Rhinolophus ferrumequinum: one gene and its partners. The protein of the gene in region 4 purifies or fractionates together with the protein of the main gene of each other region. This does not show direct contact. Links are inferred from orthologs where the notes say so. Each region holds a gene or a part of one and is shown on either strand. Other genes may lie near its edges. The genes, in order: SCFD1, USE1, SCFD2 and STX18.

Region 1 (7,458 bases), on a different chromosome or scaffold from region 4:
CAATAGAATGACAACCCAACTTTAATCTCAGTATGCAGTATTAACTACTGTGTTGTGTTTCTGTGTATTGTACAAACTTTTATGTTGTTTTTTTACCTTTGTCAATGTTACTAAAAGTCAAAGAATACCTAAAAGTAATAAGATATCACGCAATAACAATTTGAAGACATATAGGTCGTATAGTCATGTCCCCGTATTTATACTCTTGCAAAAGAAGACATTGGAAAAATCTACTGTCCCTAATCTGTTTTCAAATGTAAATGGGTTTTCCACTAAAGTAAATCATATGAGAGGTAAATTGCTTGTTTGTAATTACATTTTTTCTTGATACATAAAGCAGCTATCAGCTATCATATTCTCATCCTCCCCAAGAAACATCCTTAAGTTACTGATAACTTTTAAAGAAAAATAACAGGATTGATTTGATACTAGCAATGTCTCTTAATACCAAAGGAAAATGAAAACATAATCCTAGTGTAATTTTCTTTGTTACATTTACTAACAGACCCAGCAAATTAAAGTTTCACTTTCATTTGAAGTTTTTAAGAACATTAAACAAGGCATTTCCTTGTCTTGTGTTAATTTAGATTACTGAAAGTAATTAAAGGACCTGTTATAAAAAGAAGTTTGAATATAAACCACAAACTTGCCATATAGCTTTAATTACAAATGTGTTGATAAATTGGATATTTTATTTCTTAACCTACCTTGTATTTATAAAATTTAAAAAGTCATTAAACCAATACAAACAAAAAAAAATAATTGAAGCTATTTTCTGGTTATTTGTAGTTTTAATTAATTTCCCCTACAGTGGTCATTAAAGCTGATCAGCATTCACACACGTTTTGGATGGGGAGGAGTGGGAGGGAGGCAGAGTGCTTGGCTTGGCTGCAATTAAAAACAGATTCTTCATTTCACTTATGCATAGACAGGGCCTTTGGGATAAAGTGGTGTAAATAATAATTGACATTCACGTTTTAAAGTGAAGCATAAATACTGATATTGAAAAATGTTTTCTGGTTTTAAGGATGTTCCATTAATATATTTTTTAGATTAATCTGTATAGTCAGAGCATTTCAGAAACCACTGGGTTATTTATTTTCTGCAGTGTTACTTTGTCAGATGGTTGGTATTATGATTGCTCTTTTTCCATTCATTGTTATAGTGTGCACAATTCTTACATTGATTTTAAAAAGAAATTATGCTATAAATCTTTATAAATGTATATATGTATTTCTTAAATATTTAAATTGTCTAAATGCCATATATTTCAAGTTTGTTTTCTATTGCTCTATCAAGGAAAACCAACAATTCGCCTGTTATGCATCTACTGTTAATAGTCTTTGGTTAGTTTTACGTTCATTGTTCTTAAAGTTTTTAAACTTTTTTGGTGTGAGAACTTCAACTGAATGCCTTTTATACAATCCTCTACTATTCGTAAACTTGGTTGTTTTAGTACTTAAGGTAAAGATCTTTAAAATATCCAAAACTAGCTTACGATTTTATATTTTATCATTTAATTTGCATATTATGAATAGCCATTCTTTGGGTAATGTAAAAAGCCTTCATTTGGTTACTACCCTGAGAAATCACTTTGTTCTCTCTCTACACCAAAACTTTCCATAATTTTTTTTCCTTAATTATATGGAAGCTAGTAGAATTTTTGTACTCAATGCTAAATGCTAAGGAGAGTATAATAGGTAAGTTTTCTCAGTGACTTTGCCTTTAGCATTCAGTCATAAGGAACTGATTAGGACAAGATTCTATTTATAAATACGTAAATCCTTTTATATAGTGATTGTCACATGCTTCATTCTTTTACAATACGCTATTAAACTAGTTGTTATGCTTCAAATAATGCAATACAAAGCATAAGAACACATTGAATGATGGATTATTTGAATGTGTATCACATGTAGTTTAGGAATATTTGGATTTCTTCGAAGAGACCCTCTTTTCAAGTTCTCATTTTGACTATTATCTTTCAATTGCCAAACATATTCCAATACCTACTGTATGCCAGGTGGTGGGCTAGGTAATAGTTTATGTGTCCGCCTATTTCCCCCCATTTTTAAAGATGTCAGATATAGCAACAAACAAATAAGTATGCTTATGCTACTAAATAAGTATGTTTATGCTACTAAACGTGAAATGCGTATATAAACTAAATTAACTTGGTAGGATTTGACAAGGTTAAGGTTCTGGCGATATTAAGTAGATACAAGATCCTTTCTTCTCCACATTTGCAAGATCTGCAAACAGTTGTTGGCTGACACCTAGGAACCTCTTGAATGAGCTGTTCTGAGGTATTTGTGTCAACTATCCCCCAATGTAAAATAATAGTTTGCCAGAATAAATTATTTAAGCCTAAAATCTGGGTAGGTGGAGTCAATTAAACGGATACACAGTAAATGAGGATAACCGACACTGAAGCCATGAGTTTATTTTGGTTATTTCTGATTCTAATATGTAACAAATAGCCTTACAGAGACTATTATAGTCTACTGCCACTGTTCTCCTGTGGGGCATATTTTTCTGTACATTTATTGCCTATACTATACACTTCTTGGTCAGGACAGTTGTTATCATTTCATATGTCCATACTCTATAGGAATGTTTAACATTTCCCTAGCATTTTAATATAACTCATGTCTTAGGGGAAAAGGCTTATGGAGTTGAAATGGTGAGGTGATAGCTTTGCGTGTGAAAGTGTAAGTACGGAAATGAACATGATTGGGCCCTCAGTTGTTGAAAGGTGGGAAAGCCTGTGTATTTTATATACCATGAAGACAAAAAATGAAGTAGAACCTTCCTATAGGGCAGGAACCGTCATTTCTGTTAAATCACAACACATCTAAATCATCGGTGATTTCCTTAAAAATATTGATGATAGCACTGAATAAAACAGTCAACATTCCAGTTAATTTCTTAGTGAATATGCCAATTAGCTGTAAAAATGAGAGGTAATGCACTTGTTATAGAATGTGGGGTAAGGTTCATAACCTTCACCAACTTTTCCCTATTGCCCTCAGCTCCCAGCTACTGGTAACCATTTTGCTGCTGTTTCCTTGAGTTTGAGTTTTCTCTTAAGATTCCCTATACAAGTCATGATGCCGTAAGAAACTTGCAGTTTTAAGATGAATAAAGTCTGAGAATCTAATATATAACAAGGGGACTATAGGTCTGAGGATCTACGGTAATATAAAATAACTGCATTACATAAATTTATTGAGTATAACTTTAAAGTTCTCATATATAGTGGATGTGATCATTAGGTGGGGGAAATTATGTATATATAATCAAATCACGATGTATACTTTGAATATCATACAAATATTTGTCAATTATAACTCCATAAAGCTGAAAAAAATCACGCAAAGGAAAAAGAATGTAGATTCAATTCTAGGGCATTTCCTAATGGTGTTAAAAATAAGATCACCTGTCTTAAGTTTCATGAAAATAAACATTTTGTGAAATAGAGAAATCAGTGCTTTTTGTGTAATTGCACTACGGTATCTTTTAACTGATTTTGTCATAAATTGGAAAGTTTTCAAAACAGTTTTTGGGGCGCAGTATCTATAATTTCGTTTCGTTTCAAAATTTGGTGCAGCTTCAGAATGAACGTACTCAACAGCTAATGCAGGATCATCAGTGAACTCTACTGACCACATGGGAAATGAGTTCTCATTGTGTATCCATTTTTGACATCCAGTAAACTATAGATTAAATTAGGAATCAATATTGTATACATTTTGTCATCACATGGCTTCAAGTGTGCATGAGAACACCTGAGGATGAGAAAACAGATGAGATTGAGAAATCGGCCAGATGAGAGCAGTGCTCCAACGCCGCCTGTTCCCAAAGAGAGCCAAGAGGAAACAAGAGGCTAGCGCTAGCCTTTAAGTGCTTACTTTGTTCCCGGAGCTTCATTTACGTTGGTCCTGTGATCCTTAAACCCCTAAGTATTCTCACCAGTTTAGAGATCTGTAACCGACGAAACAATTCAGTAGTTAGTTCAGTATTTAGCTCATAGCGCTACACCACGCAAGTACCCTGACAGCTCAATTTAAAGCAGCTTCCATTTGAGAGGCTGTGGCGACTAGATAGCATAAAACCGTCTCCTGTTCCGCCGCTAAAAAACACCCTTACTGCTTCCCCAAGTTCTGTGGATAGTTGAGGTCGTGGGAGGGTCACCCTGGAAGAGGCGGGGTCCGGCTCCCAAGAACCTCATTTGGCCCCGCCCCTCCGGGCTTTGCTTCCGGGGCGGTTGCGGCGGTCACGTCATCTTCCGGCTACGCTGGCCAGCCTGGCAGTGGCTGGTGGGAGCCAAGATGGCGGCGAGTGCAGCAGCAAGTATTCGCGAGAGACAAACAGGTACCTACTTATTTATCCTCTTTTCCGTGCGGTTTTGTGCCTGCCATGGGGATGGCCTCTTCCTCTGATTATCACCCTCACTCGGTCGCATTGCATGCCCCTGGGAGACAGACCTCCACGAGTTCAATCCAGTTTTCGAAGCACCGACAGCCCCTCCCCTTTTCAGTTTTTATGGAAGAGATGCCATTGACTTGAGAACTCGGCCCCTCATTAGTGCTGCAGAAGGCGCTTCAGGAATGGGCGGGTTGCTATGGTCCTGCTCTTGTCTCTTTCCTACTGGGCCTTGTCATCTTCATGACAAGATCTGGCAAGATGACATTTCTTTCCTCTGTGTTGTCACCTATGAGGTCTCCGGGTTTGTTTCTGTGGGTGGTTCAGGTCTCTCCCATTTTTAATGTTGAAAGAGTTTCATATTCTGGCACTTCCACCACTATTACAAAATTTAAGTATTTTCAGAGCAGCTTAACGTTCTGCAACTTCTCTCCTTTGGACCAATCTTGTGGGGCTGCCTGAAGAGAAATGTCTGGTGATAAAGATTTCCTTCTTCAGCTTGCTGGAATGGGATTGAAGAATAACAAAACAAATGAATTATTAGCTTTCCCATTTTATCTGACAACTTAATGTTTTAAAACTACGTATTAGTAGTTTCATCTTCAATAGAGCATGGTTATTTATATACCTTCCGTTTATACAGTGAAATGTAGTTTTAAAAAGGACATTTCTTCCCTTGAGCTTTGATATTTTTTCCATCTTAGATATTTTTAGTTTTGCCTGATTTTTTTATAAACTTCTGATGACAACTTGCATTATACCTGTTAGCTACAAACTAATGGTTTATACTTGTTAGCTAATTGTCTTGAAAGTTAGCAAGCTATTAATTCTGAGGAGTGAATAGAAATAAGCCATCAAGAGCGTGCATTCTTGGAAATTATGTCTCTTGTAATTATGTTATTTTACATATAAATCTGAATAGGAAAATAATTAATTACAATTTATATGACCTGCAGAAGGGATTTTGGCTCTGCTTGATTCCTGCCTTTGGAATTCAAAGAAGAAAATTAATGACAGATTTCAATCTAATAATGATGCAGTGCATTATCTCATGAGTCGATCTGCTTTTCCCAATAGATGACTTTGTATAATCTATCAGATTAAGTCAGACATAACTTAAATATATGAAAGTCCAAATAAGAGTTGGGGAGTACCTGCCATTCATTTTATCTGTGTAAGCAAATAGAAGCCCCACTTAACTTAATGAAGCTCAGTGAATTAGGTCATACTACATATTAAAATAAAGAAAATAATGTGTGAAGGAAGATGGTACCAATACAAAGGAACTTTTTGAAAAATGAAATTTGGTGGTAATTATTATATGCAGAAATTTGTAAAATTTTAAATCTAGTATAATTTTGATTTCTGTGGAAATAAACTTCATTATAGAAGATTTCACATCGTTACTAGATAGTTTATGCCAGATTAATCATTTATCAAATTAGTACTCTAGTTGAGTTCTGTCTTATTTCTAGAGAAAGGAAAACCCATTTATATGTGCTATAGTAGCAGAAGGTTATAGTTGTAAAAGATTAACTTTTTGACCTCCCCCTGATGCCTGTTGAGAATGTTTTGGGAAATGACTCACAATCAATTCTCAAATATTGTAGGCGGAATTCTGTTACTGTTATTCTTCATGCATATCTCTCTGTTGCAGGTTCTTGCCCAAATGTCCCACTTCTTAACATCAGAGAGCCGCAGATCAACTGCTTTCTCTCTCGTGATCTCATGTAGCCTCTTGGCTTTAGGTACTCTCTATATACTTAGGATTCCCAAGTTTATATCTCCAGCCTGACCCTCACCTCCGAACTCAGTCTACCCCGTATCAATTACTGGCAACACCGTCCTTGTGTTGCTCAGGTCAGAAACCTTGAAGTTTTTTTGACTTCTGTCTTCATATCCCTCGTTAGATCTGTCAGTAAATCTTGTCAGGTCTACTCTGAAAATATTTCCAGGATCTGACCATTGTCATTGCTGTCACTCAGGTCCACGCCACCATGAATTTCTGCAATAACTGCCTATTTGGTTTCCTGGTTTTTACATCCCTGTTCTTCATTTTTCTTCACACCGTACTCAAATGTCACGTATTTGCTCAAAACCCTCCAACTGCTTCCTGTTTCAATCATGGTAACAGCCAAAATGACCTTACAGTGATCCTCAAGGCTCTATATGACCTGATACCCACTTAGCTTTTTGAACTGGCTCCCTGTTGCTCTCCCGTCTCCTTGAACAACCAGAGTGTTCCCCCTTCAGAACGTTTGTATCCATTTCCTCTATCTGGAATATTCTTTCAGAGATATCTGTGGCTCACTCCCTCACTTCCTTTAGGTCTTAACTGTTACCTTCTCTGGAGGCCTTTCCTGACTACTATATTTAAAATTACACCACAGCTCCCTCTCCTCCCTTCCCTTCCTTGTTTTCTCCATAGCACTTATCATGATCTCACATACCACATGTTTTACTTATTTTGTTGTCTTTCTCTCCCAACTAGAATGAAAGCTCTTTGAGGATAGGTAATTTTTATTCAGTCAGTTTTGTTTAGTGCCAACAGCTAGAGCAGTGTCCAGCAGATGGTAAACACTCGTTAAACATTTGCTGAATGAATAGTAAATATAGTTGAGTATATAGCGAATGAGTGAAGAAAACTTTCCACGCAAGGGTGAAACTACTTTAACCAAGTCTGGGACTGTGGATAGTATGTTCAGGGTTAATAAACAAAACTAGCTTGTCTTTTCAGTTAAAAGCAATATTTAAGCCTTTGGGGAATTACTCTGATAAAAGTGAAATTACATTCTTGTGTGTTATTTGAACACAGGCTTGTACTTTACTAACAAATCCACGTGGTCAGAATCCCTATTATAAGTTAGCGAGGCTCAGTGTTGGGGATATTCACCTAGACGGGGCTGAGAAGGCAAATGCCTGCTCTTACTGACTCTTCCCTCCAGCTAAGGCAGTCTCTGGAGAACACCGTACATCTGGGGCTCCCATGCAGCTCCGGCTGTGCTTCTTCCTGGTTGTCCTCTGTCAAGAGTG
Region 2 (7,741 bases), on a different chromosome or scaffold from region 4:
CCTCCAGGCTGACTTCCAGGGATGGCCCCATTCCTTCTCCACCCTCCAGGTCTCACCCCGACTCCACAGGCTGAAGGTATTGTGTTTTGCTCTGACTCTACCACACTGGGGACTCCTAGGGCCTCTAGGGGCCCCACCTTGTCCAGTGTGGGGTAGGTACCAGTGGGAAATGGGGAGGGGGTTGCTGAGCCACCACTCCCGCCCAAAGCCTGATCTTCTTCCTCCCCTGCTCAAGTACTCTCTGGCTCTTGGGGACCTCCAAGGGCCTTCCTATCTTGTTGTCCACCCCAAAGGGTACATCTGGACAAGGGTGGAGGGCAGACAGAGGACAGATGGGGTGGGCTGGGCCAAGTCTTTATTTGAGTTTGGGCATGATACGGATGAAGAGGATCATGCTGATGAAAATGAAGCAGACTATGATAAGCATGGCCCAGAGCAGCCAGTTGACTGACTTCTGTGCGTGCTGCTCCAGCCGCTCTGATTCTGTCTTCAGCTTCTCCAGGTTCTGGTCAGCCATCTTGAGTGAATGTGACAGGGTCTGTGGGTGAGGTGGGGCGGGTTATCAATAGGACTGGGATCGAGTGTGGCCTCTCCCCACTGCCCTGGGGCAAGTCAGCACCTCTTGGCCCTTGCTTGCTGGTGCTGTCTCCTCTGCTAGGAATGCCATTTCTTGCCTTCTACCAAGCTCCTACTATTTATCCAGCCAAGCCCCAGCCACAGGACCCCTCTGCTGGGAAAACTCTGATGCCCCAGGGCAGAGGCTGCAGAATCCCCATAGTCCTCACACCTGGTTGTCCTTCTTGATGACACTCTGGGCGGCCAGTGTGTTGGTCTTTAGGCTCCGGGCCAGATCTAGCATTTCTTCTGCCAGCTTCTCCTGGAGGTTCTGGTGTTGTTGCAGGACGAGGTCTAGCTCGGCTGCCGACTGCTTCTCATCCCCTGGCCTGGGCCCTGCCACCCCACTGACCCCACACGTGGGTGGACGGGTGGACATGAGATCGTGTGGAGGAGGGGAAGAGACCAACATGTTCCCAGGGAATCCACAAGTGATGGCTACAGCCACTGTCCTACTTGGGGCTCAGTTTCCCCTTCTTTACTTTGGTTTCTGGGAAGAGCATTCTCAGAAGTGTCAACTGATGGGTGGTTTAGATGTTTGTAGTGGCGCCTCAGTGGCTCAAGGTTTGTCTAGCCCCCCTGCCCCCGCAGTTCTGCCCAAGGGCTGAAGATACTCACATTCTCTTTCTCACGTCCAGCGCTGGCTCTGGAAGCAGAACAGGCCAAGCAGGAAGGAGAGGATTGGTTTCCTGTGTTCCAGCTTCCTAAGCATTATGGGTCTGCTACCCATAAGGCCCTTGCCCATCTTGTCTGCTGCCCTCTTGTCTGGGATGTTTTCCTCACCCCCATCTGGGTTTTCTTAGGCCCCAGGTCCCTCCTTCCCTCCTGTTTCCTCTGAGGGCCACCTCCTCTCTTCCCAGACCCCCTCTAGGCATGACTTGGCGATGCCCCCAGGGATGTTCTCTCTGGGATGCAGAGGATCCTGTTGCAGCTAGATGAGGCACGAGGGATGGCGGGCAGCAAGGACACATGTCCTGTCCCAAGCAGCTAAGGACTTGAGTCCTGTTCTACTCAGGGTGACTCACCTCCAGCAGAGTCCTGTGGGAAAAAGCGACAGGCAGGAAGTCACCTACCCTGTTATGCTCCCAAACCTGTCCTTTCTGCTCTCAGAACTTCTGAGCCCTTAGTCAGGGACCTAGGCACGTCCTATGACTTCTGAGCCTCAGTTTTCTCATCTATAAACTGGTAATGACAACAGCTTATACTTTGAAGGGTTTCGCTGATTTACGTAAAGTGCTCAGAAAGGCACCTGTCATCCTATTTTACAGATGAAAAAAATCTTGTCTATTTGTGTAAAGTGGGAAGCTAGGAGCCAAACTCTCCTAGCTTGCACAGGGCCAACTCTGTGGCTTAACAAGATGCGTACCACTTTTGCCTTGTACCAAACAAACTCATTCCTCTAGCAAAGCCCTGGCTACAATGCCCTTCTTTTGGGAAACCTTGTTTTATGGCCTAGGGCAGAGGCTGTTGGGTCCCCTAGGGTCCTTGTACGTGATAGTATTTGTTGTTCTGGCCATCCCCAGGCACTGAACTCCTGTCCCTGACTGAAAGGTTCCCAGGGACCAGGGAGGGAGCCCTACCGTGCCTAGCAGCTCGCTCCGCATCTCACTGGTGTACCGAGCCCGTGACTGCAGGTGTACAGTCTTGGTGGCGGGCACCCGCTCCCTGGCTGTGGTTGGCACACGGCCAGGGGCCAGGAACTGGTTGGCTAGCGCCTTCTCAGAGGAGGAGGTCTGCAGAAGAAGGAGGAGGAGTCACCAGAGGGGCGGGACTCAGGAGAACATGATAAGGGCCGAAGAAGCAGAGGTGCCCCTGCTCACCAGCTTCTCCGCCTGCAGCATCCCCTTCAGAAAGTCTACCTTGCGGGAATATTCATTGATCACCTCGGAGGCCGGTTTGCTGGATGACGGGAGACGTGGAAAAAGGAAACCTGTCCGCTGTCCCCAGTTCAGAGAAGCTGTCCCAGCAGGGATGGAGCCCAGGGGTCTCCCAACAGGAGAGGGCCCCCTGGCCTCCACTCCCACCCCGGATTTAAAACCCCTATGGCCGCCTGTACTCACCTCGCTTGGAGTTTCAGGGCCTGCAGCATGTTCTCGAGGGCTCCCACGTACTGGGGAGAGAAAGTGGGTGTTAGCCGGGTCCCCCGAATAACCCCCATCCGGCCCGAAGAGGGGCAGAGACAACAAAAGGCGGGGCTAGGACAGGGCGGGGCTGGGAAAGGGGGAGGGGCCGGGAAATAGGAGGGGCCAGTTGTCAAGGAGGCGGGGCCAGAAGAGCCCAGGGACGAGGGCGGAAGTAGCTGGTGGACGTGGCGGAGCCGACCGGAAGGGGCGTGGCCAGAGCGTTTGGTGGGGCGGGGGAGACCGGCCTAGTGGCTGTTAACCCCGAGGACCACCCTACCGGAGTCGGGCTCTACGCAGCAGCCCGGGCTCCCCTCACCTTCTCCAGACGCCACTCGTCCGAGTCCCGCTTCTCTGCTGCCATCGCCTCGCAGCGGCACAGCAACCGCACCAGGTTCAGCTCTAGCCTCGACGCGGCCATCACCACCCGGCGGTACCCCGCCCCTTCCGCCGGCGACATCTTAAGCGAGGGCGGAAGTGCCTTTACTTGACTTCCTTCCGGGCTGGCGTGTCCCGCTCGTTCTGTCTCATCTTTGGAGCATAAGTAGTCTTGTTTCAAGGAGTGGCCATCCCATCCATACTTAGGGCCAAATCGCCTGCTTTCCTCGCGAACATCTTAACCCCTCAGGAAGGGTTGAGGACCATCATTCGGTGTCAGGCCCACATGCCGCTTCCTCTGCTCATTCCTTTCCCCTAGCTCAAAATTCCTCTACTACACTTAACCCGTCTAGGTTCTTCCCACACTGAGCTCTCCCGCATCCAGGCAGCCTTCCCCGATTTCTCCTGGGGGTTAGGGAGAGAGCCCTTGGCCTGGGACTTAAGAATCCGAAGCTTAGGGGACCATCCAAACTTCTGCGGTTAAGAGCTTCTGGGTCCCAGCTCTGACTCTGACTCCAACTCCCGCCATTTCTGGGCGTTTCCTCCCTTGGGAAATGGGCAGTGGGACCGTGTCTGCTTGAAGCGGACACAGGTTAGCCCTGGGAGTGAGAGGTGGGGCCAGGTCACCCCTAAGGCTCAGATCCCCGTGGGAAGAACCCAGTCCTAGCCCACTGGGAGCCAAGACCCATCCTGCGAGCCCCCTCCTGGAGTGGACAGGGTGAAGATGGAGGCTTCACAGGGATGACTGTGGCATGCAACACCTTTATCTTCCCAGACCTCAGATCACCTATGTCCCAGTCACATTAGTGGGCCTGGTGTCCTCAAAGGATACAATGAATGAGACCAAACCCAGGGTGGATACAGGGAGGCTCTAGAGGCACCCTGAGTGGGTTTTGAAACCCAGCCACACCCCATCCCAGTGGTGTGACCTTGGAAAGCCCCCCAGCTCTCCCGCATGTGTAGTCTGGACTCCCATTCGTCACTGCCCCCCACTTGCTAGCCAGTTCCCACTGGCTGCCCGCCCTCAGGGACGCCATCTACTAGCCAGGTCCCACAACTGCCCATGTTTGCAGCCTGGGAGCCTGTCTGTGGGAAGGTTGCTCCTGGCTCTGTGGGGCCCACCAGAAATTGCCCTCCACCTCCATCCCAGGGCAGATGGCCCAGCTGGGGGAGGCCGGGTGGTGAAACGGCAATGGGGCAGCTCCTAGGACAGCAGGCTTCTCTCACTGAATGCCGCTCCAGTAACTCCCTGCTCCCCCTGGTTTCTGGATCAATATGCACGCACCTCCGGCAGGCCCACCTCGCTCAGGTGAGGATTATGTGTGACATTCTAACTAACAGCAGCAGTTTGCTGGAGGATCATGGCAGGTCCTCTGAGACAAGGCCACAACCCCGAGACTGCAGGGTGTACAACCCCGAGACCTGCTGGCCTATGCACCTCCAACCCCAAGCAGGTCTGAGCAGGAATCACATGCAAACACTTTTCAGGCACTTTTTTTTTAATTTCACATGGTTTGTGGGGCACCTCTTTCCAGACGGGGGCCATCTGTCCAGGTGTCTGGTGATGAGCGGAGCCTGAGAGAGGGGAGCCCTACTCCAGAGATCCCCAGGCTGTCACTATAGGCCTGTAGGGACACGCAAACACAGGCCTTGCTCTCCCAGCCTGTGAGTGGTCCTGAGTCAAAGGCTCCAATTCTACCATACGGTGTGGGCAGTGCCAAGGGCAGCTTCCTCCAGTCAGGGAACGGTGGACAGTGGGGTGATGGCCACATTCGAGTCTCCCTGGATGTGAAGTCCGTGGTGCCCTGGGTAGAGGCCATCCCCCACCTTATGTCCTGGCTCCAGCCAACAGCCTGGATCCCCATGGAAGACTCTACTGCTCCTTTGAATGCACGTGGGCCAGGCAGCCGCTGGCCGGGTCACAGGATGAGCGCTGGACAGACTCTGGGCAGTCAGGTGCCCCAAATGTCCAAACCCTGCTGCAGGGTCCTGGTCCATGGATGCCCCCTGAGCTGTCAGCGCGGGCCTGAGCCTTCAAGGTGGGGTGGCTTGTATGGGCTTTGCTCTTTAGTCTTGTGTCCAGGTTATAAGGGTGTTAATATAAAAGTTTTACATACACATATAAAAAACAATTTGGTCTTCTGTTAAGGCTGTTACAGTTTAAAAGTTATGTAAACCAGGCACAAAGTAACAGTTACCGTACAACCGTACAAAAGGGGCAGGTGGGAGAGGCCAGGCTGCCTGCCAGGATTCAGAGCTCTGGGCAGTGCCTCTGTGCAATGTCGGGCGTCAGCCCCAGCCGGCCTCTCGCTGCCTGGACTCTGCACGGGGAGCCGGTGCCCACCTCACATCGCTCTTGGAGCTTTTCATTCTGGATCCTTCTCGGAGAGCTGAATGCTGGCTCTGGAGCTTTGGCACAGGGCCATCCTTAGAGGTGCAGATTCTGGCACTGCAGACCCTCAGCCGTTAGCCTGGCCCGAGGTGGGGGGCAGGCAGTAGGTTGGGGGGTCTGAGTACCTCCGCTTGGCCCCAGGCAGTGGGTTGTCCTCGTCCAGGGTCTCCTCAGTGCCCTGTGCAGGCAGGTGAGCACCCGGCGTGATATACACAGAGTGTACCTGGTCTGGGCGGCGGGCAGGTGGCTCCCGGCGCCTCACTGAGGCGGTGGCCTCATGGGCACCTGGTGCCCGGCCAGGGAGGTAGGAGGGCAGGCCGGGTGGGAGCTTGATGTTAGCTGTGGGCATGATGGGGGTCCGCCGGGGGGTCTTCACTCTGACCGTCACGAAGGACGACGGCCTTCGTCTTGGAGGGGCAGCCACCTCGGGGAGGGGGCTTGGGGCAGGCGTGCTGGGACTAGGGAGAGCAGGTGCGGGGAGCCCTTTTGAGAGACAGACAGCAGGGTTACTGTAGCTTCAGGGCCAGCAGATGGACCCTCGCCCTGGGGCCTGCCAGGGATGGTCACGGGAAGGAAAAAAGCAGACACTACCTTAATACTGACCTTCCAAGGTCCCCCGCCCGGCTCGCTCTTCTAACAGGCTCTCGGTGCTGGCTGATGTTTCTGAGTCTAGGTTCTCCTCGTCGGAGCCCCGAGGGTCCAGTTCTGGCAGCCGGTAGGTGATGTCCTCCCTGGGGTGATGGGGGTCACATGTCTAAGGCTGTCCCAATGGTGAAAGACCACCTCATGGAAAGTGCCCGGATGACAGGATCCTGGTACTGGATGTCCTGGTACTGGTGTCCTGGTACTGGATGGGATGCCCCGCTCCCAGAACCTCCCACCTCCAAAGCACCCCTGGCCCAAAATAACCCCCGGCCATGGAAAGCTCATGGGAAGAAGGTGTCAGGGTGCTGAGGGCAGCCAGGCATCTGGCCCAGTACTGAGCAAATGAGGAGCTCCTGCATCAGGACCTTTGCATGTACTGTTCCCTCTGCCTGGAGCACCCTACTCTGTAAGACTACTGTGGCCAGGTGCCCTGGCTCATGCCTGTTCTCCTGGCATAATTTTTTAATAGCACTCCCTTTCACACTCACATTTCAACTAGACAACGAATTACTCGGTTACCCTAGCTAAGGACACCTTTAAGACAAAATCTGAACATCACCCGTTGCCCTTCCTTTCCCTGTGGGCCACCATGGTGCCCTGTGGTCAAGCATAGGGTTTAAACAGAGCCCCAAGCTGTGTTTTAGGACAACAGCACTCCACGAGATGGGTCCTGGACGAGGGACTGAGCTTGGCCTGTCAGCCTCCCTAACGTCCAGGTCCCCTGTGCACAGTGGAGGGACCAGTGGATGGGGGCTGGATGGTGCAGACGAGGGTGGGAAGGGGACAGAGGACACTTGCTTCTCCTCCTTGATGGACTGGATCCGCTCAATGAGTATCTCCTTCTCCCGGTCCTCGTCGTCACCAGCTGTTTCCTCCTCTGGCAGCACCCCCAGCTCTTCTGGGCCGCTGCTGCTTCCCCGGGCTGTGGGGCTCTTGTTCTGCAACAAGAAGCGGCAGGTCTGGCCGGCCTCTCTGGGCAGGTGGGGTCAGTGCTTGTGAGTGGGGAGAGGGTGGTGTGCACAGCTCCGGGGGAGGTTAGTTCTGCCGTGGACGGCAGGCTTAGTGAGGCTTCTCCAGGGGCCATGTGGGGATCAAGTGGCCGGTGCACAGCTGGTTAGTGTCTTCAGCAGAAGTGGATAGCAGGCAATGGGTCTCCCCCAGCATGCACTTTTGGAAGTTTAGGACGTGCTGGGCCTATCCTACGAGGATCCCAGGGGCCGAGGGAACCCCAGCATGCACTGCACCAAAGACATGCAGGGTGGGCCAACCAATCGAGTACATACCAGGACCCCCTCATAGGGAGACGAAAACCCCAGTTTGAGAGGCCATGGCTGGGGGAGAGATGAACAGAGGATGACTACATGGTGCTAGGACTAAGTCACAGGACGTGTCACAGGCACTGAGCCACATCTGACCGCAGGGACAAGGACAGGGGAGCCCAGGAACCGTCCCCTTACCCCTCACACTCTGGGGCTACTTCTGTGGGATCAGTCTGCTATGGGTGGGGCCCAAGTCAGCAAGGGCCGGGGTTGGAAGATGAGCAGAACTACCAAGTAGGTGACAGATCTCCCCCACTGCCCTGAGAGGGGCG
Region 3 (7,973 bases), about 67 Mb from region 4:
ATTTTTAAGTGCTTCATAATATTCTATAGCATAGCTCTCATAAAATGATGTACAATTGCTTTCAACTTTTCACTTTAACACACAAAAAACCCTACAATGAAGACCTATGTCCATGACTTCTTGCACATTTGTATAATACAAGTGTATATGTCATAAAGTATGTGCAGTTTTTAAGTCAATAGATAATGCCAAATTTTCAGGCCACTTTTGAGAACACATCCTTCAAGAAGATGACACATGATGGGTCAAAACTGGTATTCTCGTTCTCAACTATAACATAGTTGCATGACCTCAGGTAATCAACCTTTCTATGCTTCAGTTTTCTCAGCTATAAAATGGGAAATTTGAATGAGATGATCTCTAAAGTCCCTTTTAGTTATGATGTTTTCAAATAGGACACTCACTTTTCAACGGAAAGAAATCTATTTTAATTACAAAAATCAATATGTTTACATACTCTCTAATCAGTAAATATTGTTTTTTCATTTATTTGGCAATTACTGACATCTGCTGTTTAAGAACTTGGAAAATAAAGACATGAGTAAAACATAGCCCCTACCCTCAAAGAGCTCTGTAGAGAAAGGGTGATAAACAACTAACTCTCCTACAAGGGGAAAAGGAGACTATGATACAATAGAAGCACATACAAAGTATTTACATTCCACCAATATGACACCATTTTGTATTATTTAAACAAATCATATGGTTTTAATCCCCTTTACCTTTTTGTTTTGTTTTGTTTTCTATAATTTTTTTTAATTTTATCGGGGAATATTGGGGAACAGTGTGTTTCTCCAGGGCCCATCAGCTCTAAATCGTTGTCCTTCAATCTAGTTGTGGAGGGCGCAGCTCAGCTCCAAGTCCAGTTGCTGTTTTCAATCTTTAGTTGCAGGGGGCACAGCCCACCATCCCATGTGGGAATTGAACCAGAAACTTTGTTGTTGAGAGCTTCCGCTCTAACCAACTGAGCCATCCGGCTGCTCCAATCCCCCTTACCTTTGAACACTCTTCTACCTGCTATTCCCAGTCTCCCGAATCTGTTTAGGATAATCTCTTGCATCCTTCTGAACTCTGTTGCAACATAATCAACTTCATGAATTCTTTCCTGAATTCCACTTTATCTCCTCCCATATTTTTATTCATTCAATAAATATTTATGGAGGCTCCACAAGTGTCAGGAACTCTTCTAGGCTACATATTAATAGATTCGACAGTGAGTAAGACAAAGTCCTCCTCTCATGAAGCTTTCATTCTGAGGAGACAACCACTAAACATATGTCACGCGGTGATAAGGATTATAAAGAAAAGTAAGCAGAATAGGAAGACCCAGAGTGGGGTAATGAAGAGGGATAGGGTGCAATTTTATATCGTGTCAGGAAAAGGCCACTCTGATAAGGTGATACAAGAGCAGAGGCATGAATGGAAAGAAAAAGTAAGCTGGGTAGATTGCTGGATGAAGTCCTATCAGACAGAGGGAGTATGGAAGCGCAAAGGTTCTGGGACAACAACATACTTAGTGTGTTCGAGGAACCCCAAATGTAGCTGAAGAGGGAGGGAGGAAGAGGCTGTAGATGAGGTCAGAGTTATTGGGGAGCGGGCAGGGCAGAGCTAATCACTCCCTTGTAGACCTTGTGCTGCTTCTATGGAATGTGTCCATCACAACATATAGTAATGATTTGACTACATATCTGTATTCCTAAGACTGTTCATTAGACCAAATCCTCCCTCAAATGGAGCGTTTTTTTAATCACTCTCATTCCTGGTATGGTGCCTAGCACTTAGTAGATCTTCTTGGCCTTTACTCACAATAATGGAGTGAAGGTTTTACATTCTCTTTGGGAGTATCATAAGACAATCACTTACAGTCTTGTCTATTTATCTTTCTGTTTATCATTCCGTGAGTGTATAATGAACTTTGGTGGTTTCATGGGAGAACCAATCACCATTTGCTGAGAAGACTTTTTCTCCTTTCAGCTGCCTGAAATGAGCTCGTATTTCAAGGGATTACTTAAACAGAACTGAAGAATTACTGAATAATAACTGATGCATCAGAATTGCCTTCATGGTGGAGGTAGTATTTGATTTAAGCTTTGAACAGGAGGATTTCCACAAGCAGAGAAGCCCATAAATCACTAATAACCAGTCTTAAAAGGCCTCCTCCTTTCTTGCTTCCAAATTGAATTCCTTGCCTGGATAAACTTCCTTAGCTAAAGGTATCTTTATCTTCCTACTCACCAGGGGAGACTTCAAAGAGAGGTAGCTTGATGATACTGTGTAAAATTATGACCTTATCCAACTACAATACTCCATACATTCTGATTATATTTGTGTCCCATTTTATTTTATTTTTCTGTGATCTGTTGGTTCCTGGCAAAACAACAATAACAACAAAGCAACAGTTTTAATATATCTCTAAGAAATACCAAAAGGGAATGCTTAGCAGATGATTAAAATGATGACAAGAGTTAAAACTCAAATAACAGTGCTATGTTCAGTATCTAGCAGATAGTGAGTACTCATAAATGTGTTTTGAATGAATATGTCATTTAGGCCCAACTATGCTATTTGCTGCAAACTTTAAATATGTTGCTTAAATCTCAATATTATTCAGTTTCCTCATCAGTAAAATGATATATTAATATGACATTTTATATTCACTTCTTGGGAAGATAACAAAGCTAAAATTAGGTTTCAAAAATGTCAAAGCATTAGACCAGTTAGAGGCAAGCAGGTAGTGGGTTATGGTGTAGGCCTTTTGTCCTTTCAACAACCTGAATAACCACACACGTGTAAAGGTTTCCTTCTTCTCTAGATACTTCCATCAGGAATTAAGCCTCAATTATCCATCTTCCTATATATTTTGACATATTTTAACACTAAATTTTATATTGCTTGCTGTTTCTGGAAAATTGTATCATCTCCTCTTATAGCTACACTGTTATGTAAACTGCACACTCCTTAATGATGAAAACATTTTTTTTTCTGTAGTTACCAGATCCTGTTTTACAATGTCAAGCACATAGAAAGTGGTTAGTAAATCCTTATGTTGATGATGCATATGGAGGACTTAGAAATGAGGTGCAGAGAGATATGTTTGGTTTTATGAGGAATGGGAAATAATTGTTGGCTATTTTGAGCACAGAAGTACAAATCACATTTAAATGAAGTATATCTGATTGTCTTAAGCATGTAATTTTAGCAGGACTTAATTTGACTCTGCCATAACATCTGAGAACAAGAAGTGGAAGGAAGGAAATTCTGACACATATTATAAAATGGATGAACCTTTAAGGATATTACGCTAAGTGAAATAAGCCAGTCACAGAGGGACAAATATTGTGTGATTCCACATACACGAGATATCTAGAGTAGTCAATTCATAAAAACAGAAAGTAGAATGATGGTTGCCAGGGGTAGAGGGAGGGAGAAATGGGGAGTTGTTTAATGTACATACTGTAGAGTTTCAGTTTCACAAGATGAAAAAATTCTGGAGATTGGTTGCACAACAATGTGAAAATACTTAACACTGCTGAATTGTACCCTTAAAAATGGTTAAAATGGAATTTTATGTTATGTGTATTTTGTCACAATTAAAAAAAACAAACAGACAAATAAACAAAAACATGGCCCAACTGAACTCTGCACATTTATTCCCCATTCTGTTTCTCTTTTGATTTTCCAAATCTCAGTGACTATCATTTACTAGTCACTGAGGCAGAAAAGTGGGCATTAATCAGAAATTTTCCCTCGCCATCTCTCTGTCAATCCGGTAACCAGGATTTTGAGCTCTATCTCCTTAACATTTATTTAGACACCCCTCATTGTCTATCCCTTTACTGGTATGCTTATCTACTCTGGCCCAAGTATTTGCTGTTACTATTTCCTAACTGTTCTCCCAGCTCAAAATCTTACTGCGTTCAAATTATTGTCTGTGTCCTTAATAGAATATTTTTTTCTAAACTCTAGATATGGACAAATTATTTTCACTCCTAAAAATAATAGTTCCCCCTTGGCTGCTACTACGTAGAATAAGAAATAAGACTAACCCTGATCTAGTCACTTCTTTTCTAGTTTTAGCTCCTATTTCTTCTTGGGTCTCTTCATACAAGACATTCTAGCTAAACTATACTGTTTTTAGTTCCAAAACACACGTTGTATGGTTTCATCACGCTATGACTTTGTTCATGCTGCACTTTCTGCCTGGGCTGCCAGGAATGCTCCTCCCCATTCTGTCCACCTGGTGAACACCTGGTTTTCTTTGAAGGCAACTCAAAACTTATGTCCTATATGAAACTCCTAACCACTTCCCCTTTTTACTTCACCCAGTCAGAATTTATTTTCTCTCATTTGTAATTCTTATACATTAAAAAGGTCATCGCTTCTGGAACATTTTATTGCACTTGCTTTGCCTGTGTGGGTCATTTTAATTCAGATTCTTTTAAAGGCAAGACTGTGGCTTACTTCTCTTTATATCCTCAATGCCCAACACATATTGTACAAGTTCATTAAAAGTTGATGTCCAGCTCGCCTCCCTGAGCTTCCTAGGACCCCCGAGAGCCGCGGAGCCTCGCCCACTTTTCTTTCCCACACCTCAGCATGCTTCCTGGAGCTGTCTCCCCGCAAGCCAATCACGCTCCGCTGACGTCATCACCGTGCGCAGCCACTGGACAAGTAAGAGGCGGCACCGCGTAACTTGTGTTGATTGTCAAAGTGTCAAGGAGCCCAATTCCCGGAAGTTGTGAGTTCTGAGAAAGTTTCTGTACTTGTGTGCACGAGTCTGCGAATTCCCAACTATGAGCGCCCCGGGCGTGCAGTCGTTTACCCAGCAGGGCTGGGAGCAGGTGCTGGCCAAAGTGAAACGGGCTGTGGTCTACCTGGACGCCGCCTGTGCCGAAAGCCTGCACTGGGGCTGCGGATCCACCCGGCTCCTGGAGGCGGTGGGGGGACCTGCGTGTTACTTGCGGGAGTTCGAGCCCGCAGCAGTCGGTGGCGGAGCTAAGCAGCCCAAGGCGGTGTTTGTGCTGAGCTGCCTACTGAAAGGCCGAACCGTGGAGACTCTACGGAACATCATCTGCCGCAGTCACTTCCAGTATTGTGTGGTGGTCACGACTGTGAACCACGCTGTCCACCTCACGGCTAATCACGTGCCAGCCGCGGCAGCGGCGGAGCTGGAGGGGCAGCAGCCGGTGTTCGAGCAACTAGAAGAGAAGCTGTGTGAGTGGATGGGCAACATGAACTACACCGCCGAGGTGCTTCACGCCCCACTGTTGCTCGCCCCTGCCGCTCCCTACCTTGCCTTGACTCCAGCCTTTGCTTCCCTGTTTCCACTGCTACCCCAGGATGTGCATCTCCTTAACAGTGCCCGACCGGACAAGAGGAGGCTGGGAAGCCTGGGTGAGGTGGATGCCACTGCCCTGACCCCTGAGCTGCTACTGCAGATCAGGTGCCTGGTGTCAGGCCTCAGTTCTCTGTGTGAGCACCTAGGGGTCCGAGAGGAGTGTTTTGCTGTAGGTTCCCTCAGTAGGGTCATCGCTGCAGATCTGGCCAATTATGCCCCTGCCAAGAACAGGAGGAGGACTTCTGCAGGCAGGGCATCAGTGGTCTTTGTGGACAGAACTCTGGATCTCACAGGTAAGTGGGATTGCTGTGGAGGGCTTCATAACCACTCTCCAAGGTTCTGATACTTTCATTGATTCAGAGTATATTTTATTGACCTCTTACTATATGTCAGGTTGAAGATACAAAGATGAACTAGGTGGACACAGTCCCTAATCTCACAGAGTTTACAATCTAGACGGAGATACAGACAAACAAATTAGCATTAGTCAGTGTGTTAAAAGCTGTAATGAATAAATACATCTTCAGTGTGCACGGCCTTGTTAAACAACAACTGCATCTAGCCCAAGAGATTGGAAAAATATAATTATGATGACACCGAGGAGAAATGTCTACCTGGGAACCTTTTAGGAATGTGCAGATGCACGTATTCCCAACAATCCTTCATAGAAGGGCTCTAATTTGTTGGAGAGGTGTTAACAGATGATTTAGTGGAAGGAAACTGTTCAACAAAACAGGAAATTATCACAGAGAGTTAGTTGAGTTTTAGGTTTTGTGGGGACAGAGAGCAGTTTCTATGCTTTCAGCCTCACATGCAAAAGTGCTGGCTCGGGTAGTAGATGATCATCGGCTGTAACCAGTTAGCCATTGGCCACTGATATAACTGCCGTGGCTGAGCTAGCAAGGGCAGATTGCAGTTAGCAAGGGGTTGGTTGGTTGGCGGAGAAGCGGATGGCAGATTGAGGCTAGCAAGTGGGGTTAGCAAGTGTGGATGGCGGATTGCGGATCGTGTGGATCCTACTTCCTGTGTCTTGGCCAGCCGCCAGCAAGACTGGGATGCAGGAAGACCCCTTGTTGGGGTACTGGCGGATGTTTGCTTTTGTGCCTCGACCAGCCGCCATGGAGAATATAGTGGTATGACTCCCCTATCTATGGCTCTGTTGTTCCTTTTTGGCCTCACCATGTCCTATGTTCTGTTGAGGGGAGCGGGACCAGAGTCCCTGCATGACAGTTTCCTTAAATGAGTATTAAAAAAATCTATGTCCATTCTAGGCTTAAAGATATAATTCACTCAGAGATTTTTGACCCCCCCCCCCCGCATCATTAGACATTCATTCAGCAAGTATTTAATGAGGAACTTGTAGGGTGAGTGCTAGGGAGACAACCATAAATTACAGACGACATAAATAAGATGTGGTTCCCACCAGCTCTAATCAATGAATGTTCTACTGGTGATACAAGAACTCTTTTCTTTAACATCAGATGTGACCTTAGAAGCACTCATGCTGGCTCTGTCTTAAGTCACTTTTATGAGACTAATTTAAAAAAAAAAAGTGTAGGTTTGGGATTATTTGCCTCCTGAGTTTGAATTCTTGGTTGGTAATTTATAAGTTGTGTAATCTTGAGCAAGTTACTTAAATTGAATCTTCTACTCTGTAAATGAGCTTAATAATATCTACCTTTTAGAGTTGTAAGAATTAAGTCAATAATAGATGTCCAGTATGGAGCTTAATATCAGGTACATCATAAAGTCTCAATAAATACTACCGTGTTTACCGGAAAATAAGACCTAACTGGAAAATAGGCCCTAGCATGATTTTTCAGGATGACATCCCCTGAACATAAGCCCTAATACCTCTTTTGGAGCAAAAATTAATATAAGACCGGGTCTTATTTTGGGGGATACACGGTAGCTATTGTGATGAAGATGATGGTGTTAGTTCCTTGAATCCCGGTTTGGTCTTTTCTACCTAGTTCTTTTGTCCAATTAATATAACATAGCAAAAACAAAAGAGAGAGATAGAGATAGACGATAGGAAGCAAAATGTTAATTAATTTGAAGTGGGTGGAATCAAAACAAGTAAATGGGCCAAGTCCCACCCATTGTTGGTATGAGGTCTTCTAAGCAATGATGGCTTTTGGAAAGATAAGTTGGTTTTATTGGGAAAGTATTGAACGGTCGTTGGTCTTGAATTTCAATTTGAGGTCATTAATTCATTTACTATTAAAAGAGTTAATACATGTAAAACACCTAGAAAAGTCCCTGGTACACAGAAAGCAGTCTATAAATGCCTGTATCATTGCAAACTGTTACCATTCATTCATTTGTTCTTTCTTTCATCTAGCAAATATTTAGTGAGAGCCTACTGGGTGCCAGGTTGCCTGCTAGACATGGTGGGTACAGGATTAACTAGCTGAACAGTTGCCATTGTGAAGATAAGGGTCTAGCTCAGGGGAGATCTGCTCTGCTTCGTCAGGTTTAGTCCTCTGGGTCTTACGGTCTTCATCAATAAAATAAAGTCTGGCTCTAAAATTTCAGGATAGTATTATCCAATGACACTATTTACCTGGATGACTATATGCTAATAATTTATTTATATATTCATTCAATAAATTATTTATTTATTCATTCAACA
Region 4 (7,851 bases):
TCCCCCCAGAGTGAAGACCACCAGGCGGGCAAGGGGGAGGCATTCAGGCACTGCGCTGGCCACTGTGGGGACATTTCCGGTGCTTTTGCCGCCCAGCATCCCTCACTCCACACTCCTAGACACAGCACTCCCTTTTCCAAAGTCCGGGCGGGGCAGCAGTCATAGTATCCCACCCACCTACTGGGGTGGACATACCACCTGGCCATAGGAAGAACCTTATCGCTCTGATGCCACAATGAGAGCTCAGGATCCAGGCAGAATCAACGAGTGTCCTTTCCTGGGTGTGATGGGGAAGAGCCAGGGAAAGAAGGCCCATGCTGTGTTTCCAGCTACATCAGCCAAGACATTCCCATTTGGCTCAGGTGAATTACCTGACTAGCTCACCGTTACCTGCAACTATAAGAATTCACACGCATGCAGGGGCCAGCATAACTTTTCTCATTTCATTTGTACAACAACCTTACAAGGTTGCTCTTACTTGCTCTATTTTAGAAGTGAGGAAACTGAGGTTAAGTAACTTGACCAACTTGACACATTAGGAAGCATTCAAATTCAGGTCTTCCTAACCATTCAGTCTCCAGTTAGGAATTCAGTATTAACTCAAGAAGAAACTCACTGCCATTCGAAAGCCAAAGAATTTGGGGTTTAAAATTGCAGTGGAAATTAAAGGTAGGGGGATGGGGGACGGGGGGACTGCGTAATAAACAGCATTAAACTGGGGTCAAAGCACCTGGCTTCCACCTCAGGCTCTGTCCTACGACCTCAGCTATTAGGACTCTGGGCAAGTCGGTTCACTTACCTGGGTGTTAGTTTTCTCATCTATAAATTGAGAAACCTAAACAACATGAACATAAGATCCTTTTAAGTATATACAGAAAAAAGACCATGGTTCCACTTTAGGCATACGGGTTCTATTTTTACTATGTGTCAGGTAAGATGTCAAGCAGATTTCAACTTGAATGTCAGGTCCAACAACTGGTAATGGTTGCCTGGGGCACAATGTTGCAAAGGAATCTGAGCTACCCAGATCTGCTCCCAGGGTCACAGGGAGGAAGAGATGCAGACAGCTGATGCTTGCCACACATTTGCCAAAGGAAAGTTGCTGTCCCCACTGATGCTATTAGTACCTGCACGAGATTTGCACCGATTCCTTCTTGCACTTATTTGGTTCCCCTTTGCAAGCAAGGAATGAAAAGTACAAGAAAGCTAACTGGTTTAGGGAATATAACTTGGTACCAATGATGAAAATAGTCTAACAGCCTACACGGGGTTGGGGGTAAGAAGTGAAGGGAAACAATAATAACCAGTATGGTTCTTTATGATATATACTCATGGATAGCCTCACAGATCCTAATAATTAGTTTATCCGTTAAGTAAGGTATTATCGTTTCTATTTTATAGAAAGAGAAAATGAGACTCAGGTAATAGGACTTGCCCAAGTCACCAATTTTAAGTAGCAGAACCCAGAACCCAAGTCTTTGAAATCCAAGTCCTAGTTCTCTTTTCATTCCCAAGGCCCCCATTAGTCCCCACAATCCAAACGAATTTACTAATCAAACTCTCACTACAAAGCAGCATATTCATCACTGTTTGGGGGGAGTTCAGCTATGAGTTCCTTCCCCAACCCCCATCTGAAATGTCATTACTGTCTAGTAAGCTTGTACTTTAACGGGTAGACATGCATGAGTATATAAATCAAACATAAGTTAACCTATCTCCACACCTTTGTGCATCCTCTTCTTGGAGCCTGAGATGCCCTTTTGCACCCTGACTGCAGTAGAACCAACAACTACTCCTCTTTCAAGATTTGTTTCAGGCAGTATCACCTCTATAAAGCCATTCTTGGCATTCAGGTAGAACTGAACACATTCTCTTCTGTGCTCTACACAACACTTACAAGGCTTTAGGGCACATGTTTGGTTAATATGTCTGTTTCCCCCACCAGTCCTTTTAAATTGTGTTATTCTAACACAGTGCTGGTCAGAAGGTAGGTGCTTAATGGATGTTTATAAATGGACTGAATGAATTCACGTGGTCCAATTTCCTTCCCGATATTTGATTGTCCTCTGCAAACTGCCACTCATTAATTCATGCATACATATATTCATTTAAAAACAGCTGAGTGTCTACAAAGTACCAGGCATTGGACTGCATGCCAAACAGAAGTGGATTTACCATGAAATTAATGTTCAAGTTTCAGGGCCCCTCCCACTTACACCTCCCAAAGCTCTGAACCTTCTTTTGTGATTTTGCATTTTAATTTCTTAAAGAAAACAGACAGAACTGTATAACCTTCAAGCTCCACAAAATCAACACCTCCCCTTGGTGCTAAGGTTACAAAAGTGAACAAAGCAAACATTCTCTCTCCCCTTACCGTTTCCTCTCCCCTTACAGAGTTTAGTGGGGAAGACAGACAATCATTTGTTCATGTTTTCATTCAACACATACTAAGCAATGCTGAGTGGGGCACCGGCCACACTGTTCCTGCCGGAAGACGAAGGTCCCTGCTCCCCTGAACGATAGCCCGCTGCGTGCAAATAACATTCTGTAACAAAGATGACTGTAACAGAATGTTTGTGAAAGATACCTTAAACCAGTCTCAAGACGTACTGATCCCTAGCATGAGCCCTAACCTATTGCAGGAGACAAGGGGAAGCGACAGGTACGCTGAACACGACCTTTGACCTCAATGCAGGGGTGCGGGGTAAGGACGGAGTGGAGGAGCAAGACAGACAAGTAAATAGAAGAGGCAAATGCACTGCGGTCAGTGGTGCGACGGGAGAGCAAAGATCTGCGGGGAAGTCTCCCCGGTGTTCACGCCTGCAGTGACGGCGCACTCATTCCCTGCAAAGCAGCCCACGACCTTTGCCGACTACCATTTCCTAGCGGCTCCTCCCCCTATGAAAAAATCTACTTCGTAGAGTTCCCCAAGATATGTCCTCATTCCTCCGAGGCTGCTACGTTCCCAGGACAGCTGTCGGCTCTCCGGGACCAACTCTCCCGTCCCCCATCAGACCACTGTTCTCCAAGCGCTTCCTTCATACAAAGCTTGCGCGACAAGGTCCGTTTTGGAGTCTGGGGTCCGCGTTCGCGGGTCCGTGCCCTCTCCAGCCCTCCGTTCCCATAACAACCAGCTTACCACTTCGCGCGCCCGGCTGGAGAAGTCGCCTTTGGGCCGGGGGCTCCGGCGGAACAACTCGTCGCGGCTGCCATCAACGCCGCCGCCCACCGCCACTCCCAGCGCCTTGTTGCGCGTCTTCACGGTCTTGACGCTGGCCCGAAACAGCAGTGTGATGTCCACCGCCATGGCGACCCGCACTTACTGCCCCCGACCCAGCCGGCCCACGTCAGCAGTAGGCGACCAGGGCGCAAGCCCAGCCGCTGGAGGACTGTTCCGGCTCCGCACGCCTCCGCCCGCCAACCCGGACGCAAGAAGAAAGGTTCCGGCCTCCGCGGGGTTACCGCCGCGAGAGGAGCAAGGTTCCGCCCTCCGCCCACGCGCATGTGGGGTGCCCACGGCCTCCCCAATCCCGAGATGCGTACCCCCGTGCCCCTTTCTTTTCGCAGACAACCTGGTACCGCTTGGCGGCACAGGAAGGTGCCGGAGCCCCGAACCCTCGGGAGCCGGCCCGGGGCGTCAGGGCCCCGGGAGCGAGAGGACGCGGAAGCCTGGTCGGCTCCCGCACTGACTGAGCCCAGCCGCGCAGGTGGCAGGGAACCACAAACGACCCGGCCTGACCTTTGACCTCAAGGGCTCGCCGTGTGCGGGACGGTGACGATCTGGGTTCAATTAGTGCTAGGGCAGAGCAGGTGTGCGTGGCCCAGAGCGAGAGGCCAGAGGCCTTTCGTTTTCAGCCTTCAGCCACCAGACGCTCAGTACCTTCCTCGGAGTGTTACTGTGAGAATTAAATGAGATTTTACACGTGTAAAATATTTGGACGCTTCCTTGGCTCCTAGTGACCGATACCGATTAGTTACCGTTGTTAATAATCTCGTTATTTATGGTGGGGAGGAACTGTCTATAGGGAAGGCATCGCTATCAGAGAAGGCAGGTTTGAAGGATGACTAAGAATTTATTAGGTGGAGACAAAGGTGAAGAACGTCACTGGTTTCTGTTTATCCCTGATACGCAATTTTTAAACATACCCTTCTAAGTCATAGTTATTTAACTTGCACGTTAATCAGTGAGCTCGTACTACGTTTTTGGTTCAGGTTCAGATGTAATTCACGAGCTCATTGATTTCATTTGTTTTCATTGTTAAAGAGGATGCACAAATAGGATATCAAAACAGTGGTTGTCAAAGAGTGGTCAGCAAGATACAATTATTTTGATAATAAGATGTTATTTGACTTTTCACTCTCAATTCTCTCATGAATTACACACAGTTGAATTTTCCAGAGGCCGTGTGACTTGTGATATTGCAAAACACTGAATGCAGAACAGCTGTCTCCTATTAAGCCAGACTTTAAAGAGATTTGCAAAAATGTAAAACGATGCCATTCTCACGGCATTTTTTGTTTGTTTTGGGAATGTATTTTTTCACAAAAATACACTATTTGTGTTAATATGTTTGGATTTGTTTTTGTTTTTAAGGGAGTGAATATTTACAATTTTAGTTTTCATGTCTAATATGGTAAATACTGATAGATAAAACCCATACAGACAAAAATTATTTAGGGCCTTCAATACTTTTTAAGAAGGTAAAGGAGTTCTGAGAGCAAAGGTTTGAGACCCACTGTGTTAAATAAATACATTTGTCAAAAATTGATGTCAAGAAAGGACATATATGGACCTGAAAGGAAGAAGGAAAACATTATTTAAAACCCAAACTATAGCAGCTTCAGCCTTTCTGTATGAAGAAAATAAGTTTCCTGCAGCCTATGGAGTATGAGAGAGAAAATGAGAAAGAAATTACAAAAATCTCTGCCAATGATTCTGTATTACATAAATGGTCCTTTGTTTTATCAAGACATTAATGAGTCTTTGGCTATGCAAAGGTGAGCCTGGGGGCAGAGAAGAAGAAAGAGTTGAATTGCTCTGCATAATGTAGTGAAGGGGATTGAATTAGGGTAAAAGGGAAACCAGAGCCCGGGGAGGAGGCCAGGAAAAGAGTGCTTCCTTGGGGAAGGGTTTTTAAGTTGGAGGAGGCTGAACGACACCACACCAACCTGCAGTGTGAGCAGTGTGTTTGGTGCAGTGGGTTTCGGCGTGAGAGCTGGGAACAAAGGTCTGAGTTTTCTTTCTGGATCTGCAAGAGCAGGGAACATTCTGAAGGTGAGACCCAAATAGGCTGAAAACATCAGGCTCTAAAGGCACAGTAACCACAAGTACCTGCTATTCCTAGACAAGTCACTGTGGAGGCCATTCGTTTTGCCACAGCCCATGGGATATGAGACTTCACTTTTTTATTACTTTATTTTATTTTATTTTACTCTTTCGACCTCAAAGAGCAAGGGAACTCCAGTTGACAGCAGACTAACAACTACCGTGTTTCCCCAAAAATAAGACCTAGCCGGACCATCAGCTCTAATGCGTCTTTTGAAGCAAAAATTAATATAAGACCCGGTATTATATTATATTTGTTATAGCATAGCATAACATATCATTATATAAGACCCTGTCTTGTTTTAATATAATTTTTTTTGTATTATATTAATTTTTGCTCCAAAAGATGCATTAGAGCTGATGATCTGGCTAGGTCTTATTTTCGGGGAAACACGGTATTTGAAACCTCATAAAGCTGAAAGGGGATATGGATAAAAAGGAGGAACAGCATGGTGAGATGCTACAAACTATCCAGTTTGATGTACATAAATTATGTTTTATAAGTAACAATGTTTCATTCATTAGGCCAGGTACTCATCTCTTGAAAAAGAGTAAGGCGTATTGAAATTCCCTACAGCTCCCGTACAGCTCCCTACAACCACACCCTCCATACCCTCTGGATAGATGCAGACAGCTTTGAATCATTTGGGGACTCTCACGGAAGTCCTTAAATGCAGCCTCTACCAAAAAGAGGGTATATTGCACATTCAGATGCCCAACCCATGATGGACAAGTGCTGTGAGTGAGAAATAGATTTCTGTTTTTGTCAGCCACCAAGATGTCATTGTCACATCCCTTAGAGAAAGATGGAGTAAGCAGGCATTTGCTGCATGGAGGGTGCCCAGTGCCTGGAAGTGTGAATTCTTACGGGGTGGCACAGGAAGACCAGAGTTTCGTGGGCGCATGGAATCACAGACTTGCCACAACAATAGAGACTGGAGACCCCCTGTGGTAGTCTGTTTCATTGTTCTCTCATAGTCATGGTCTCTCCCAAGGGTAGGACTACAGGTCCTTGACCTATTGATGAATAACCTGGCCCGGTGATTCTTTTTAGCCACAAAAAGTGATATGTGATGCAAATTTAAGAGATAACATGTGGTTCACTGTGCTCTCTTTACAATGTTTCATCGGCCTGGTCCCTGAGTAAAGATGATCCGGAGCACAGTCAAGCAAGGCTGTGTGCTGGCAATGACAAGTAAACCTCTGGTCTAGTTGTGCATGGAGATTTGTGGTTGGTTGGTACTGCAGCATAATTAGCTTCTTTTGATTGATAAACCCATATCCAGATATCTGCCAAAACAAGACTGTTGGATGCACACTTCACTTACCATCATCAGTGGGTGGGAATTGCAAGCCTTGACATCAGGCAGAGATAGAGGCCCTAGGGCTGCTGAGTATCCAGTGTCTGCTGGTAGGCAATCCCCAGGAACCACCCAGATGCGGACACCAGTTAGTAAAAGGCATCAGAAGAGAGACTGGGGAGCTACTGCTCTGTCAACCCTCCTCCATATCTGACCTGTAGCTTCTGGACCCTGTAAGGCCCAGACTTCTCTGGACAGGAATTGTTGTCGGGTACATAAGAGACATTTATTAGATCTCTGAGTTCTTTCTAGTTCAAAAAAAAAGGAATTCCAGGAAGTAGTTAGCCAAGGATGAGTAATAGGAAAAGCAAAGGAACAAACAAAAAATACATGAGATTTGGAAACTGAAAGATGGGTTTGAATGCCCGCTTCCCTATGCACTAGCTGTGTGACTCTAAGCAAGTTACTTCACCTCCCTGAGCCTCATCTGAAAAACAGAGCAACACCTATTAACCTCTCATGTGATTCTAGGAGCAGAGATTCCCTTCTAAAAATTCTTCCCCCCCCCCCCCCATGGAACCGGTATTAGTGATCTGGTAGTTGCGCAATACCCACCAGTCTGCGTTTTTCACTTGGTTGGAGCCAATCTCTCAACGTTTCTGCGCTGAGGACATTGGCTCTTTTGCAAAGGTCAGTGGGAGGCAGTGACTGGCTGAGGCATTTGTTCTGTAGAATTGCACTTCACCTCAGAGGGGAGCTAGAAACTAGAATGCTACCAGATCTCTCTCCGTCTCTCTCTGCCTCTCTCTTCTTCGATATAATTATCTTTGCAAACCTTTTTTCTCTGCTTCTCATTCACATGGCCAAACATGGGCCCCTGTCAGATCCTCAGTTTATATGTTATGCCTCTAGTCACAGATGTATCAGTTCCAAGCCCAAATTCTGAGCAAGCAGAAAAGAAAACAAAGGCCCATCTTGGTACAGACATCTACCTCTGGTCCAATCAACTATGGCTCAGCCTCCAGTCATGTGGTTCAAACCTGACTGTCAGGACACACTCTGCTGGTTAGGGGCTTTGGGTGTGTATTCGTTTCCTGTGGCTGCTATAACAAATCAGCACAAAGTTGGTGGCTTAAAAGAATGCAAGTGTGCTATCTTCCAGTTCTAGAGGTCAAAACTACAAAATCGGTCTCACTGGGCTAAAATCAAGGTGTGGGCAGGGCT

Evidence for each region.
Region 1: the proteins of STX18 (region 4) and SCFD1 purify together in Homo sapiens (affinity purification with mass spectrometry; 5 studies listed by BioGRID and IntAct, counting the BioPlex papers as one, with this or other methods). This does not show direct contact. The link is inferred for Rhinolophus ferrumequinum from reciprocal best matches to the Homo sapiens genes STX18 and SCFD1.
Region 2: the proteins of STX18 (region 4) and USE1 purify together in Homo sapiens (co-immunoprecipitation; 4 studies listed by BioGRID and IntAct, counting the BioPlex papers as one, with this or other methods). This does not show direct contact. The link is inferred for Rhinolophus ferrumequinum from reciprocal best matches to the Homo sapiens genes STX18 and USE1.
Region 3: the proteins of STX18 (region 4) and SCFD2 purify together in Homo sapiens (co-immunoprecipitation; 3 studies listed by BioGRID and IntAct, counting the BioPlex papers as one, with this or other methods). This does not show direct contact. The link is inferred for Rhinolophus ferrumequinum from reciprocal best matches to the Homo sapiens genes STX18 and SCFD2.

Annotation. Positions count from the first base shown.
Region 1 is NC_046289.1:79,696,191-79,703,648, forward strand, and holds the start of SCFD1 (sec1 family domain-containing protein 1), read left to right. Parts: upstream 1-4,275; 5' UTR 4,276-4,331; coding exon 4,332-4,374; intron 4,375-7,458. UniProt on the Homo sapiens protein: Plays a role in SNARE-pin assembly and Golgi-to-ER retrograde transport via its interaction with COG4. Involved in vesicular transport between the endoplasmic reticulum and the Golgi.
Region 2 is NC_046301.1:50,451,517-50,459,257, reverse strand, and holds USE1 (vesicle transport protein USE1), read right to left. Parts: upstream 3,211-7,741; 5' UTR 3,196-3,210; coding exon 3,055-3,195; intron 2,726-3,054; coding exon 2,676-2,725; intron 2,515-2,675; coding exon 2,436-2,514; intron 2,349-2,435; coding exon 2,196-2,348; intron 1,654-2,195; coding exon 1,641-1,653; intron 1,262-1,640; coding exon 1,234-1,261; intron 963-1,233; coding exon 788-962; intron 539-787; coding exon 356-538; 3' UTR 339-355; downstream 1-338. Other genes in the region: MYO9B (unconventional myosin-IXb), read right to left, coding at 5,573-5,988, 6,109-6,236, 6,949-7,088, 7,434-7,481.
Region 3 is NC_046288.1:15,955,060-15,963,032, reverse strand, and holds the start of SCFD2 (sec1 family domain-containing protein 2), read left to right. Parts: upstream 1-4,666; 5' UTR 4,667-4,793; coding exon 4,794-5,631; intron 5,632-7,973. UniProt on the Homo sapiens protein: May be involved in protein transport.
Region 4 is NC_046288.1:83,038,072-83,045,922, forward strand, and holds the start of STX18 (syntaxin-18), read right to left. Parts: upstream 3,414-7,851; 5' UTR 3,308-3,413; coding exon 3,140-3,307; intron 1-3,139. UniProt on the Homo sapiens protein: Syntaxin that may be involved in targeting and fusion of Golgi-derived retrograde transport vesicles with the ER.